Mus musculus: one gene and its partner. The protein of the gene in region 1 interacts with the protein of each later gene in a pairwise test. Links are inferred from orthologs where the notes say so. Each region holds a gene or a part of one and is shown on either strand. Other genes may lie near its edges.

Evidence for each region.
Region 2: the proteins of Kash5 (region 1) and Nrip3 interact in binary tests that used the Homo sapiens proteins (3 or more experiments, as listed by UniProt). The two-hybrid records come from large-scale screens. The link is inferred for Mus musculus from reciprocal best matches to the Homo sapiens genes KASH5 and NRIP3.

The regions. Positions count from the first base shown.
Region 1 is NC_000073.6:45,186,997-45,193,290, reverse strand, and holds part of Kash5 (protein KASH5), read left to right. Parts: intron 1-64; coding exon 65-115; intron 116-1,422; coding exon of another isoform or gene 1,423-1,437; exon of another isoform or gene 1,438-1,699; intron 1,700-2,000; exon of another isoform or gene 2,001-2,288; intron 2,289-2,362; exon of another isoform or gene 2,363-2,435; intron 2,436-3,263; coding exon 3,264-3,341; intron 3,342-3,360; exon of another isoform or gene 3,361-3,563; intron 3,564-3,597; coding exon 3,598-3,654; intron 3,655-3,890; coding exon 3,891-3,950; intron 3,951-4,116; exon of another isoform or gene 4,117-4,373; coding exon 4,374-4,438; exon of another isoform or gene 4,439-4,591; coding exon 4,592-4,679; intron 4,680-4,993; coding exon 4,994-5,149; intron 5,150-6,294. UniProt on the Homo sapiens protein: As a component of the LINC (LInker of Nucleoskeleton and Cytoskeleton) complex, involved in the connection between the nuclear lamina and the cytoskeleton.
Region 2 is NC_000073.6:109,760,006-109,766,294, forward strand, and holds part of Nrip3 (nuclear receptor-interacting protein 3), read right to left. Parts: intron 5,544-6,289; coding exon 5,461-5,543; intron 3,619-5,460; coding exon 3,479-3,618; intron 1,869-3,478; coding exon 1,816-1,868; intron 1,737-1,815; coding exon 1,642-1,736; intron 1,185-1,641; coding exon 1,169-1,184; 3' UTR 1-1,168.

The DNA of each region.
Region 1 (6,294 bases):
CCTGGGTCAAGGAGGCACTGGCACTGGGACCAGAACTGATTCTGTTCTCTCTGGGGTGGGCCAGGAGAAGGAGCAGCAGCACCTGGCGGCTGAGGTAGAGACGCTACAGGAGGAGGTGAGCCGAGGCCCACCCACCTTCAAGGGTTCCTACCCCTATCCGGCAGACCCAGCATCCCACATGCTGTGATAGTCCCTGGGGGGCATTCATGGGGAGGCCCTGGCCAGTTCTTCTTATGTCTGCATCATGGTGCCCTCACCATCAGGGGAGCAAGCCAGTCAGTGGTCTCACCTCATGTGAGGCTTAAACTAGAAAATGCTTAGAAAGTTCCTAACTCAAGGTAGGATATATAGGGTGTGCACAGTAAAATCCAACAAGCTGGTATAGTGTTCCGTGCCTGCCATCCCAGCACTCAGGAGTTTGAAGCAGAAGGATTTTGAATTCAAGACTAGCCTCAGCTATGTAACTAGACTGTCTGAAAAAAAAAATGTCACATGCCTTCGTTTTTATCAGTGTGTTGGTGGTGAGTTTGATCTCTGGCAATGCAAATGAAACTGCAAAAACTTATAAAACATTGTTTTAAGCATAGGCATTGAGTCACCCTAGGAGCACGATAGGCCACTTCCAAGGATGCTGCTCTTTCTTTCATTTCTGAGGGGTTTTGTTTTTTGTTTTTTGTTTTTTTTGTTTTTGTTTTTGTTTTTTGAGACGGGGTTTCTCTGTGTAGTCCTGGAACTTACTCTGTAGACCAGGCTGGCCTCGAACTCAGAAATCCACCTGCCTCTGCCTCCCAAGTGCTGGGATTAAAGGCGTGCGCCACCACACCCGGGTCCAGCTTTTTTTTTCCTGCTTGTAGCCTCATAGTCACAGATGGTTTAAGGCAGGGTGCATGCACCCACAGACACACACACACACTCACACACTCACATACTCCTGCCCCTCTGTGTGTTGTTTCAACAGCCAACTCACCATATCGTTGGCTGGGGAGGATCCCTTAGCCACAGCTGCAAGGGAGCCTGGGAGGACGAGGAAGCAGCCAGATAGGAGGGGTTGGGACAGCTGTTTCTATAGCAGACAGGTTTTCTTGTCACTGCCCCCAGGGCATGTCATGCAGGCGGCAGGAGTCAGCTGTGTGAACTGGCCACCTGCACCCCTGCCTCCTACACCAGGCCCTGTGCCCTGCAGAGGGACTTCTAGGCATGCAAGTTCAAGCAGAGCTAGAGCTATTCTCAGCCCCTTGCTGACCCACTGCAGCTGCCCACTGAAATCTAGAGATTGAGATCTCAGGTTACACCGCATGGCCTGCTGGAGTAACAGGATACTCGGTCTCCCAAAGTCTGGCTGCTGGCTGAATCCCAAGGATCTACAGCCGGTGCTTCTGCAGGAGGCTGCACGGTGCTGAGATGGCTTTTGGGTCCCACCAGGTGGACAGGTGTTGACACAGCACTCCCAGCTGTCCTTCCTCTGCCCTTCACCCAGCAGCCCGAGCTGCTGAGATGAATGACGCACTGGTGACCGGGAGCAGGGATGGGGCTAGATACCAAAGAGCTACTGGCCTCGTCTCCTGGGCTCTGGAGGAGGATGTGGCTTGCTAGACTTCAGGTGCCTGGAACCTTGGACTTGGAATTGTCATATTCATTTGTTTGTTTGTTTGCTCATTTGTTTGTTTAAGACAGGTCTTCTCTGTGTAACCCTGGCTGTCCTGGAACTTGCTCTATAGATCAGGCTGGCCTCGAACTCAGAGGTTTGCCTGCCTCTGCCTTCTGAGTGCTGGCATTAAAGGCATGTGCCACCACTGCCCAGCTTTGTTTTTGTTTTTTAAGATGAGGTCTTGTTATATAGCCCAGGCTGGCCTGGTATTAAAAGTTATCCTCCTACATCAGCTTGCCTGGTGCTGAGATGACAGCTGCATTTCCTCACACCCAGCTTCGGTCACACTGGAGAGCTGTTGTGGATGCCTTTTCCTGACCTCAGTGTCTCCCCTGGGGAGGCTCAGCCCAGGCACCACCTCCTAACCAAGCCCTGTGGCTGTTCTACCACCCAGCTTGAGTCTCTCAGTGAGCCTTGGGCTTAGTGTAATCTGTGTCTTCCTTGTTCCACTTCTGGTCCCTGTGCACCTTGTGCATACAACACCACCACTTCTCACGAGGCTTTTGTCACCCAGAGTTTTATCTGCGCCCCCCCAGAGGCTGAGTGTTAGAGGTGGGACTGGGCATCACACAGATGGGGCAGCCTTGCCAAGTCTCGTAGCCTCTGTTCAGTTCCTCCTGTAGAGCTGAAGGGAAGGATGCTATTAATGGCTATATAGCCACACACTTACAGAGCCAATGTAATATGGACAGTGCCAGCCCTGGATCTACCCACCTGCTTGCAGGTGACTGTGAAGTCACTACAGGGGTCCACATCTGGGGGCATATGTCTGCCACAGGCCAACACCCTAGGTGGAATACAAGAAGACGGGGTGATTTTGTTGCCAACTCTGGAATTACATTTTACTAAAGGAAATAAGTTGTCATAAGTAGGTAAACACTGGGGTTGCTCCAGGCAAAATGGGAGATTTGCTTTAATAAAATGACTGAGTTAGACAAGAAAGCAAAAGAAATAAAGAAAAGGAGGAACCAAAGTCTAGTTATTACAGTGGGCATGAGGGTGAGGTATGATGGCTCATACCTGCCTTCCTGCTAAAGCGGGAGGATTACAAATTCAAAGCCAGCCCAAGCTATATATTGAGACTGTGTGTGTGTGTGTGTGTGTGCATGTGCGTGCGCGCACTTGCAAGTATTCTGGGCTCACTATACTTTAGTTTCGTATGTTAGGAAGCATGAGTTTCTTTAATTATCTATAACTGTTCATCTCTAACATTTATATCTGGTGCATGCCAGGCGCATGCTGACTCAACTCTAATGTCTGTAATCATTCACGTTCACTGGCCTGTGCTAGCATGAGTAAGAGCTGTGTGACATGAGACAAATTACTCAGCCCCTCTGTTCCTGAGTTGCCTTTATCTCATTAAAACTGGGAAAAGAAATGGAGTCATACATGCAAAGTACTTAGATGTACTCATTCACTCATTTAGCTCCCAGGGACCTCATACAATCTAGGTATCACCTCATTGGTGGGGAAACCACCTATGGAGAAAGGGCAGACAAGGTCCCTCCCTTCAGGGTGATGGAAGAAAGGGGCTGCCTGGAGAGCAGCCATGGCAGTGAATGGCAGCTGTCCACCTCACACTCCTGGTTGGTGAGCATGGCTGTCCTCCCTGCAGAATGAGAAGCTGCTAGCTGAGAGAGATGGAGTGAAAAGGCGGAGTGAGGAGTTGGCCACAGAGAAGGACGCTTTGAAGGTGCGGAACGTGTACTCACCTCCCTGTACCCGAGTCAGCGCTGGAGTTGCTGAGAACAGGCTCTTGCGTCAGAATCCACATGCCACATCCTAGGCAGTCAGCTGGAGTCCCCCTCAGAGCAGCTGACACCCACGGGTGTCACTGGCAGCTGAGGGAAGACTGGACAGGGACGGTGCAGGGAGGAGGGTGCGCAGTGGGAGGCCGAGGGGAGATGTGGGAGGCCTGTGAAGAGATGGATAGGCTCTTTCCTTGGCAGCGGCAGCTCTGTGAGTGCGAACGACTCATTTGCCAGCGTGAAGCAGTCCTCTCAGAGGTGAGGGACAGGGAGGGGACAGACCTGCCCTTAGCGTGCCTTCATAGCCCCTGCCTTGTGTGGCAGGAGCCCACCCAGGTCTGGGCCCTAGCCAAGCAACCCACACCGGCCCAAGGGATTCTCCCAGGTTACAGTGTGGCCTGCAGGCTGTCCCAGCTCAGCCAGCCCCCCTTCAGCAGCCTCATGTCTTGGGGAACTGAGCCCTGCCTCAGGTAGCTTTGTGTTCCGTACCCCAGCGTACCCGCCATGCAGAGAGTCTGGCCCGGACCTTGGAGGAGTACAGAACTACCACCCAGGTAGTACCTGAGCCCATGGTGCCCCTTCTGCCCGTCTCTATGGGTTCTTTGCAGCTGGCTTTCCTCCCTGCTAAGCACTGCATCTCTCTGCCCCTTCCCTCCTCACTCTGCATCCCTGACCTCTACTGGCTCTGTTTTGTGTGGACATTTTTCCCATAGCACTCACCTCTCTGGGGGCAACTGTCTCCCCTGGGCCGAGTCCATCCGTCTGTCTGGGTAACTCCTTTGTGTGTTTTTCTGTGAATCTACCCACCTTAGAGTCCCTTCTGCCTTTGTGATGCTCGGGCTGTCTGGTGCTCTGGGCTTCTGAACTCTCTTAGTCCCGGACCTTTGGCCACTGCTGCTTCACCCTGGTAACTGGCAGTATGTGTCGGCAAGAGGAGTGTGTGGGCTCCACGGGGGCCCATGCTCTGCTTCTTACAGGAACTAAGGCAAGAGATCTCAAACCTGGAGGAGCAGCTGAGTCAGAGCCAGGAAGGCCCAGAGGAGTGAGTGGTGTTCAGGAGGGAATGGGGATGAATGAGCCATGGATCATGGAGAGGGGGGGAGCGAGTGGATGGTTGGGCAGACAGGGGCAGGAGAGGGCTGGGCCACAGGGTGAAGTCTGTTCCAAAAGCTAGGCCTCCCCTGTGTGTGGCCAGGCTGCTGGAAGGGGCTGAGGCAGGAAGAGTAGGCTGGATCATGGCCCTGCCCCCATCACTAGACTTGGAGATCCAAGCTATCCGACAGGTAGGCTCTGCTTCCATGGAAACTCTCCATGTATCCCTGTTCAGACCCTCACTCTGGCCAGAGCAGCACCTCGTCATCGCCTGCCCTTCTCCAGCTTTCTCTGCCTTAGCCCCAGCCCTGAAAACTCCAAGGCCATGTTCCTTAACATCATCTCTCACCAATCTGGTCCCATCACCAATTTCCTCCGTTCCTCCATATCTTTCCGCCTATTGTCTTGTCCCAGCCCCACACCTGTGCCCCCCTTCACCTCTGTCCTGCCTGTGCCCCCACTTTTCTCTGGCCCTCCCAGGTTCACATACAGCTTCTGCTTCCAGGAGCAGGATGTAGCCAGTGCTGGCCTCTCTAGTCCTCTGTATGGAGTGTGGCAGTGGGAAGAGGTGGAGCCTGAGCCTGAGCCTGAGCCTGAGCCTGAGCCTGAGCCTGAGCCGCAGGAGGTTGAGTTTCCCTCTGAGGACCCTGCTAGGCAACAGGTACTCAGAGAGAGGCCCTGAGCCACAGGAGTCCAGGGGCCCCCAAGGCTCTACCCTCTCTGCTCCTTTGCTGTGTCTTGCTGTGTTGTCTACTCAGTGAGCTTGCAGAGAGCCTGATGCAGGTGGGGGGTCCAGCCCCAGCCAACAGAACACACCCCTGCCCTCAAGGGACAGACAAAGTCAGGCTGCCCCATAGAAAAACTGTCAAGATGCGCTTATTCATGGTGAAAGACATGAAATGTCGTTTTAAAAAGCTTCATGGTGATGGTGGCGTATGCCTTTAATCCCAGTGCTGGGGAGGCAGAGGCAGGCGGATCTCCGAGACCAGCCTGCTCTACAGAGCAAGTTCCAGGAGAGCCACGGATACACAGAGGAACCCTGTCTTTAAAAAATAATATTAAAGTGAGAGAGAGAGAGAGAGAGAGAGAGAGAGAGAGAGAGAGAGAGAGAGAGAGAGAGAGAGAGATGGGGGAATGGAAGGAAGGCTTACCACTAAAATGATTCTAAGCTACACAGAGGCTCTATCTCAAGAACACCAGGGGTCTTTCTAGCCAAGGTCTATACTATGCTAGGCAATTATTCTACCGCTAAGCAGAAGCTCCTGTGTACTCCTGAGCTGGCCCTGTATATAGATGAGTCACCCAAGACAAGTGACCCCAAATGGTCCAGTTTAGGTAGCAGCTGGCCTGGGATGGAGGGGGTGTCTGTTCCAGCTGGGGGACAGTAGAGGGAAAATGACCTTGTCGTGGGACCTGAGATGCTTGGGGACATAAAGCCACACCATGGTCTCGGGTGACTCGGCAAAGGGTCTGTCTTCAGCTGTGAGTGGGCAGGATAGGGACAGGGAAGGAGGGCGGTCCCGAGAAGGGAGGTAGGGGAGGAGGAGGAGGAGAAGAAAAGAAGGGGGGCAAGATGGCCAGAGAGCTATACCCCAGCTCCCAGGAAGTAGAAACAGGAAGATAGGCACTCAAGGTCGTCCCCAGCCTCTGGAACATAGTGAGTCCATGCCAGAACAGAGTAACAACAGAAAGTGTCAGGGTGGTGGAGTTGGTAGCTGAGGGCACAGGCACACAGGAGGCCTCTCTGGAGAATGGGCCCTGCAGAGGACTAGGGGCATCCAGAGACCCCCAGAGGGAAAAAGGAAG
Region 2 (6,289 bases), about 65 Mb from region 1:
TTTGTAGCCTGTTTTTGCACCCTCTCATCTTCCCTGTGGTGTGTGTCCATGTGTGTCTGTGAGTGTGTGTAGGAATTTGTATGAGTGCATGGAGCTGTGCACCTGTGCACACTCACAGAGGCCAGAGGAACATGTGGGTGTCATGTCATCTATTCCTCTACCACACTTCACTTGGTTCCTTTAAGGCAAGGACTCTGGAGACACTCCCCCTCCATTCTCCCCCTCTTCCTGTCTATTCCTCTCTCTCTTTTGGTTAGACTGGAAGCTAGAAAGTTCCATTGGGGTCTCAGGTGTGTGTGGGACAATGCCCAGCTTTTGTTTGGGTACTAGGATCCAAATGGCAGTCTTCATGCTTATGAAGCAAGCACTCTTAATAAACAAGCCATCTCTCTATCTCTAGTGCTGTGATGGAACCCAGGACCTTGTGTACATTAGACAAGCAGGCCACCACAAAGCCACATCCATTACCCCTCCTTTCTTGCACTTTAACCTTCCTGCCTTCTTCTTAAGGCTGGAAAACAAAGAAAGCAGCATAAGAGCCTTGGTTTGGATATCAGGTCTGGATTCTGCTTGTCTTCTGCCATGACTTAATATGTGAATTTAGATAATTTACCTGTCTGTGTGTTTAAATTAAATGTCTGGACCAGATGATCCCCCTGAAACATCTTTCAGATAAGTTCACACTGGAAAAATCAATTACTTCAGAAGAGATTCTAAAGTCAAGACATGTTTCTATACCTCTTTGAAACAGCTGAAAGAAAGTTCCTATTTACTGTATATTTTAATATTTTCAAAAAGCAAGTGTTATCTATGGAGAAGTAGAACCTGGCAGCCCCTACACTGGATTGATTAATAAAAAGCAAATTCTTGGAAGAAGCAGAGAAATAGGCCACAAATAAGACCTGGCAGTGTCAAAAAAGGTCTATAAATTAAATATTCAAAGAAGTAAAAAACAATGTCTGTTTAACCATTAAGCCATTAACCAGACAAGATCTCTAAGCACAGACTATAGTCTAAAAAGGTCTGAGCGGGAAGAAGCCCCTGCAGGATGTACTGGAGGGAAGGACTTGGTCCATAGCAAGTTGCTATTGTATTTAGTTCAAACCCAGTTTTCTCAGTCTGTCAACCTGGTGTGTGTGTGCACATGCGCACACGCTTCAGGCTGCAATTATGCTTCTGAAGTGCTGAAATGAGAAAGAAACAAATAATTGATAGCAAATTCAAAGGAGTTAATCTGAAGGCAAATTAACTTGGGTTTTAAAATGTCTCATGTATACATCTATAATCCTAGCACTTAGGGAGCTGAGGCAGGAAGCTCATGAATTTAAAGCCAGCCTGGGCTACATGCTAAAACCTTATCTCAATGCCTTATTCCCAACTCACCCCATTCCATGCCTGGGCTGCACACTGAAACCTTGTTACACACACACACACACACACACACACACACACATCCCCTTAAAAGACTGTTTTTTCCACTATTCTATGTGCTATCCTTGTTTATTATAACATGTAGGCTACAGAGTTCTGCGGGACAGTAAACTCTAGTCTGGGGAAGGGCTGACCTCTGCTATGACTGAAAGCTAGAGGTGGGCTATAAGCCTATATACTGTCTGAGAATGCCCTGACTCATGTACTTACTTGTCGTCATTCACAGAAACTGTCTCCACAAAAGGGATTTCTTCTTTGTCTGTCTTCCCCACAATCAGCCGGTGCTTGTCCAAGTTTATGATGCACTAAAACAAAGCAGGATCACTGGTCACTCAGTGATGCTACTCTCAGTTCCCTGCCTCTGAGACGAAATATCAGTCCTACCTTCAGGGATCTAAGAGTCTGGAGACCAAGTGATAAGCTTTTTTCATTATCATCTAATAAAAAACAAAACAGTAAGAGTCAGACATTTCCATGCTGGCTTGGATGTCAGCGTAAACACCATTCAATGCATTTGTATCATCTATCCATCCACCCATCCAGCAAACCAGCCAGCTAACTACCCAATAAACAGCCGTTGAACCTGTACTTTCTCCGATCATTATAGCTAAAAGAAGGTAAAAGCCAAAATTCAAACCAAAGTCTTTTTTGCTCTAGAGGACAAAGGCCTTCAGTAAAACAGAGGCAAGTACTTAGTGTAGTCTAACAGAACATATGAGAAGCACAGAAGGAGAGTAGGCAATCAGGCATTTATGGCAGGAGTACAAGGACCTTGTCTTCACCAGTTACGAGCTCATGAAAAGTGCCTTTTGGGACATTTTAGCTCACACATTAAAAAAAAAAATCTGTTTTTAGGTAGATAAGATGGCTCAGTGGGCAAAGTGATTGCTGTCATATCTGATGACCTGAGTTCACTCCTTGGAATCCACAGTGGAGGGAAAGACCTAACCTCTGACCTCCATAAAAATGGCATGTCACAAGAGCACACCCTCCCCAAACACATACATTAGTAAATGTAGGAAAAGTCTGTTTCCTGTGGCTTATATGCATAATGGAATTCCTTTTATCCATAAAGAATGAAGCTATGCCATTTGCAGGAAAATGGATGCAACTGGAGACATCATAGTGAGTAAATTAAACCAGTTTCAGAAAGACAAAGAATTGATGTTTTCTCTCTTTTGTGTGTCTTCTTTCAGAAGGGCACAGACAGTCAGAGAAACAGATGACATCAGGTAGTGAAGCTGTTGGGGCAACAGTGGGAGCTGACTGAGCAGTGAAGAGTGAGGAAGTGCATTTACATGCCTGTATGAAAACAGCCTTATGTCATCAAGATTATTAAAATTTTAATTACATGTGTTTATTTATGGGGGCATACCTGTGCCGTGGAACACATGTGGAAATGTGAGATCAAACACAGGCTGTCAGTTTGATTCCAACCATCTTAATCCACTGAGCAATTCCACTGGCTCCGTTCTATTTTTAAAGATTTAATGTTTCTGTGTGTGCCTAAGTATGTATGTACATCACATGTGTACAAAAGCCTGAGGATGCCAGAAGAAGGTGTCAGATCCCTTGGCACTGGAGTCACAGGTGGTTGTGAGCCATCCTATATAGATGCTGGGAACCTAATCTGAGTCTTTTGAAAGGGCAGGAAATACTCTAAACCACTATGCCATCTAGCCCCTGGTAAATTAACTAATTAATTAAAAAAAAAAACCTGATGTGCTGAGCTGTCCATGGTGGTACACGCCTTTGATTTCAGCACTGGGGGGGGGGGGGACAGGAGAATCTCTGTGAGTACAAGGACAGCCTAGTGTGTATAGTGAGATCCAGGACATACAGAACTATATAGAGAGACCCTGTCTCAGAACAATAACAACAAATGTGCACAGTATGGTGGCATGAACCTTTAATCCCAGCGCTTGGAAGGGTAAAATTATGACAAAGGTGTAGAGTATACGGAAATGGAAATCTTGGATTTTGAAGAAGTCAGTATTATAGGCATGAGAGTTTATGTTAGACCCATCTGTCCCCCAATTTAACTCACCAACCACAGCTGCTTGGCAATCCAGACGGAGAGAACCCACTGTGATCATTAGGTGCTCAATCTGGCCAACTACTTTGAGATGCCGTGGTAGAGAAAGCTTTTCCCCTTCATGCTTGTGAGATTTGACATGGTCCTTTAGTCTGAAACAGAGAGAAAGCTATTATAATCCCTTTGTCAAAGTTTTCTGTCTCAGAATTGGGTTCTCGAGGGACTTCCTGAGCTAGGCAGGCTATACTTGCTTCAACCCTTTCTTTCTAACCATGCCAGGGGAATACAAGAGAAAACAGGGGACTTGTTTCCTGTCTTTCAGAAACTTAAATTACTACCTGCATTTGTGCAGAGAGGAGTTGACATGTTTAGGGAATTCTATTCTGCATCCTAATATCCCTATTAATGTGTCTTTATCCATCTGCGGATAACAGATATCAGAGGGCAAATTAATCCTAACTTAGAAAAGGCTTCGTTCAAGGTCCATTTTTCTCCTTCCTATTTCAATTTCTTGTCATAAAATTGTCTTAGTCTATAAGGCTAATGGAGACAGGCACTTGTTTGGTAAGACTATTGATACTGGTTAGCAGCAAAGCATATTATGGGGAAAGTCCTCCCTAATTTGACTTGCCTTTGCTGGGATGGAAGGAAAGGAACAGCACCAAGGTTTCACACAATTACATAAGCTGATTGGAATAGCTAGCACCCGAGCTATTATGGGCTGGTGGATAAATACTTAATTAGGGATTTTCTGTGCCAATACTTCTGTTTTCCTCCATTTCCTCTCTTTTGGTATTACAGCCCATCCAAAAGAAAACTAATTGCAGTTTTACAGATGGTTATTAATTCCTCCGGAACCATGGCAGTCTGCTGCCTAATTATGCACCAGGACATCATTAGTCTTTCTGGAACCATCATATTGTACATACCTCATCTCTTCACTACATTAAAAAAAAAAAACCAAAGACAAAAAACTTAAGATTCTTCCCACTTGAGTCCTGGGATCTACTTTTCCCCAATCCTAGATAGTAATGTATAAAATAATTCACAGAACAAACTTCCGAGAGTCCCAACAGTGGGTAGGAAGTGAGAAGTAGGCAGATATAGGAGAAACAGATGATATAATGCAGTCATTAAGAACTGCAGTGAAGCCCTGGGTAAGCCCAGTTGAGAATATGCATGTTTTGGATGAAGCTCTAAACAGGCCACTTGGTCTGTCTCATTAATTACAGAGATTTGGCCTGAGGAACAGTTTTCTGTCTACAGCAGCGGTTGGTTCTCAACCTGTGGCTCCTGACCCCTTTGGGGTGGGGGTGAATGACCCTTTCACAGGGACTGCCTAAGACCACTGGAGTTTACATTGCAGATATTTACATTACAATTCATAACAGCAACAAAACTACAACTATGAAGTAGCAACGAAAATAATTTTATGGCTGAGGATCACCACAACATGTGTATTAAAGGATCACACATTAGGAAAGTTGAGAATCACTGGGTCTACAGAAAACTAGGGGAAATAATATTAGGTTGATTCTAAGCAAGATACCTCAGAGAACATCTGGTACTTTGGAAGAAAGAGTAAGAAGAAGGAAGAAGTAACAGGAAAGGTTGAGTGAAATAGCAGTAAGGTAGAGAAAGCCATCCTTGCTTCTACACTTCTGGAGTAACAACAGGACAACTTGCTGTCTAGAGAATCAAGGCAGGGTATGTACTGAGCGAGAGTCTTATACTTTCTCACTCCATACTCTAGAAACCTGCTCAGAATTTAGAAAGTGGAAATTAACAGAAGGCCCAAGGTCTCCTGCATTTCTCCCACTGTCTGACAAATTGCAGCACTCCTCTCTGTTAAGGAAACTGGTTCTGGAGGAGAGGAAAAGCTTCGCATGTTTTTCTTGCTTCTGTGGATACATCCAAGCATTATAACCTTAAACCAGATGCAAGGAAGAAGAATAAATGCATCTGACTTCTACCCAGGACAAATGGCTACTTACCCCAATCTGTCCACACAGGCTGAGGAGATGAGATTATATTGACAGCCAGTGTCAACCAAAGCTTTCACGTCCTTCCCAGCACACTGTGGGAAGGAAATAGACTCTTTAATAGGATCTAGAGAAGCAAAAGAGGAATGAGACAAAGAGCAAGCAGCAGATGTCAAATGAAAGACATGGGTTGAGAGCAGCCTTCCAACCGGTCGTTGGTGCTGTCCCACTTCCCCCACGGCTAAATCTGTCTTTGACTGGCTCTTTTTCCTGCTAACTAAATCTAAGGCTGATAGAATACCCATAAAATCCTTTATGGGTTTCACTCTATGCTAAATATTATGTACATAATCTTTAAAAAAGATCATCCTGGAGGCAAATTCAGGGCTTTGAGCTAGATGAGCTAGATGAGGCTTGTTTTGTTTCATTTTGTTTTACCTCTGAACTACACGCCAGCTCTTTAAAAAGATCACACATGGGCTGGAGAGATGGCTCAGCGGTTAAGAGCACTGACTGCTCTTCCGAAGGTCCTGAGTTCAAATCCCAGCAACCACATGGTGGCTCACAACCATCCATAATGAGATCTGACGCCCTCTACTGGTGTGTCTGAGGACAGCTACAGTGTACTTCCATATAATAATAAATCTTTGGGCTGGAGTGAATGGGGCTGAAACAAGCATAGGCCCTAAATTCAATTCCCAGCAACCATATGATGGCTCACAACCATCTGTACAGCTACAGTGTACTCATATATATAAAATAAATATTTTTCAAAAATTAAAAAAAATCACACATCCTTTGTAAATATGATAAAAGCTTTGTTATTTCTTCCCATTCAAAT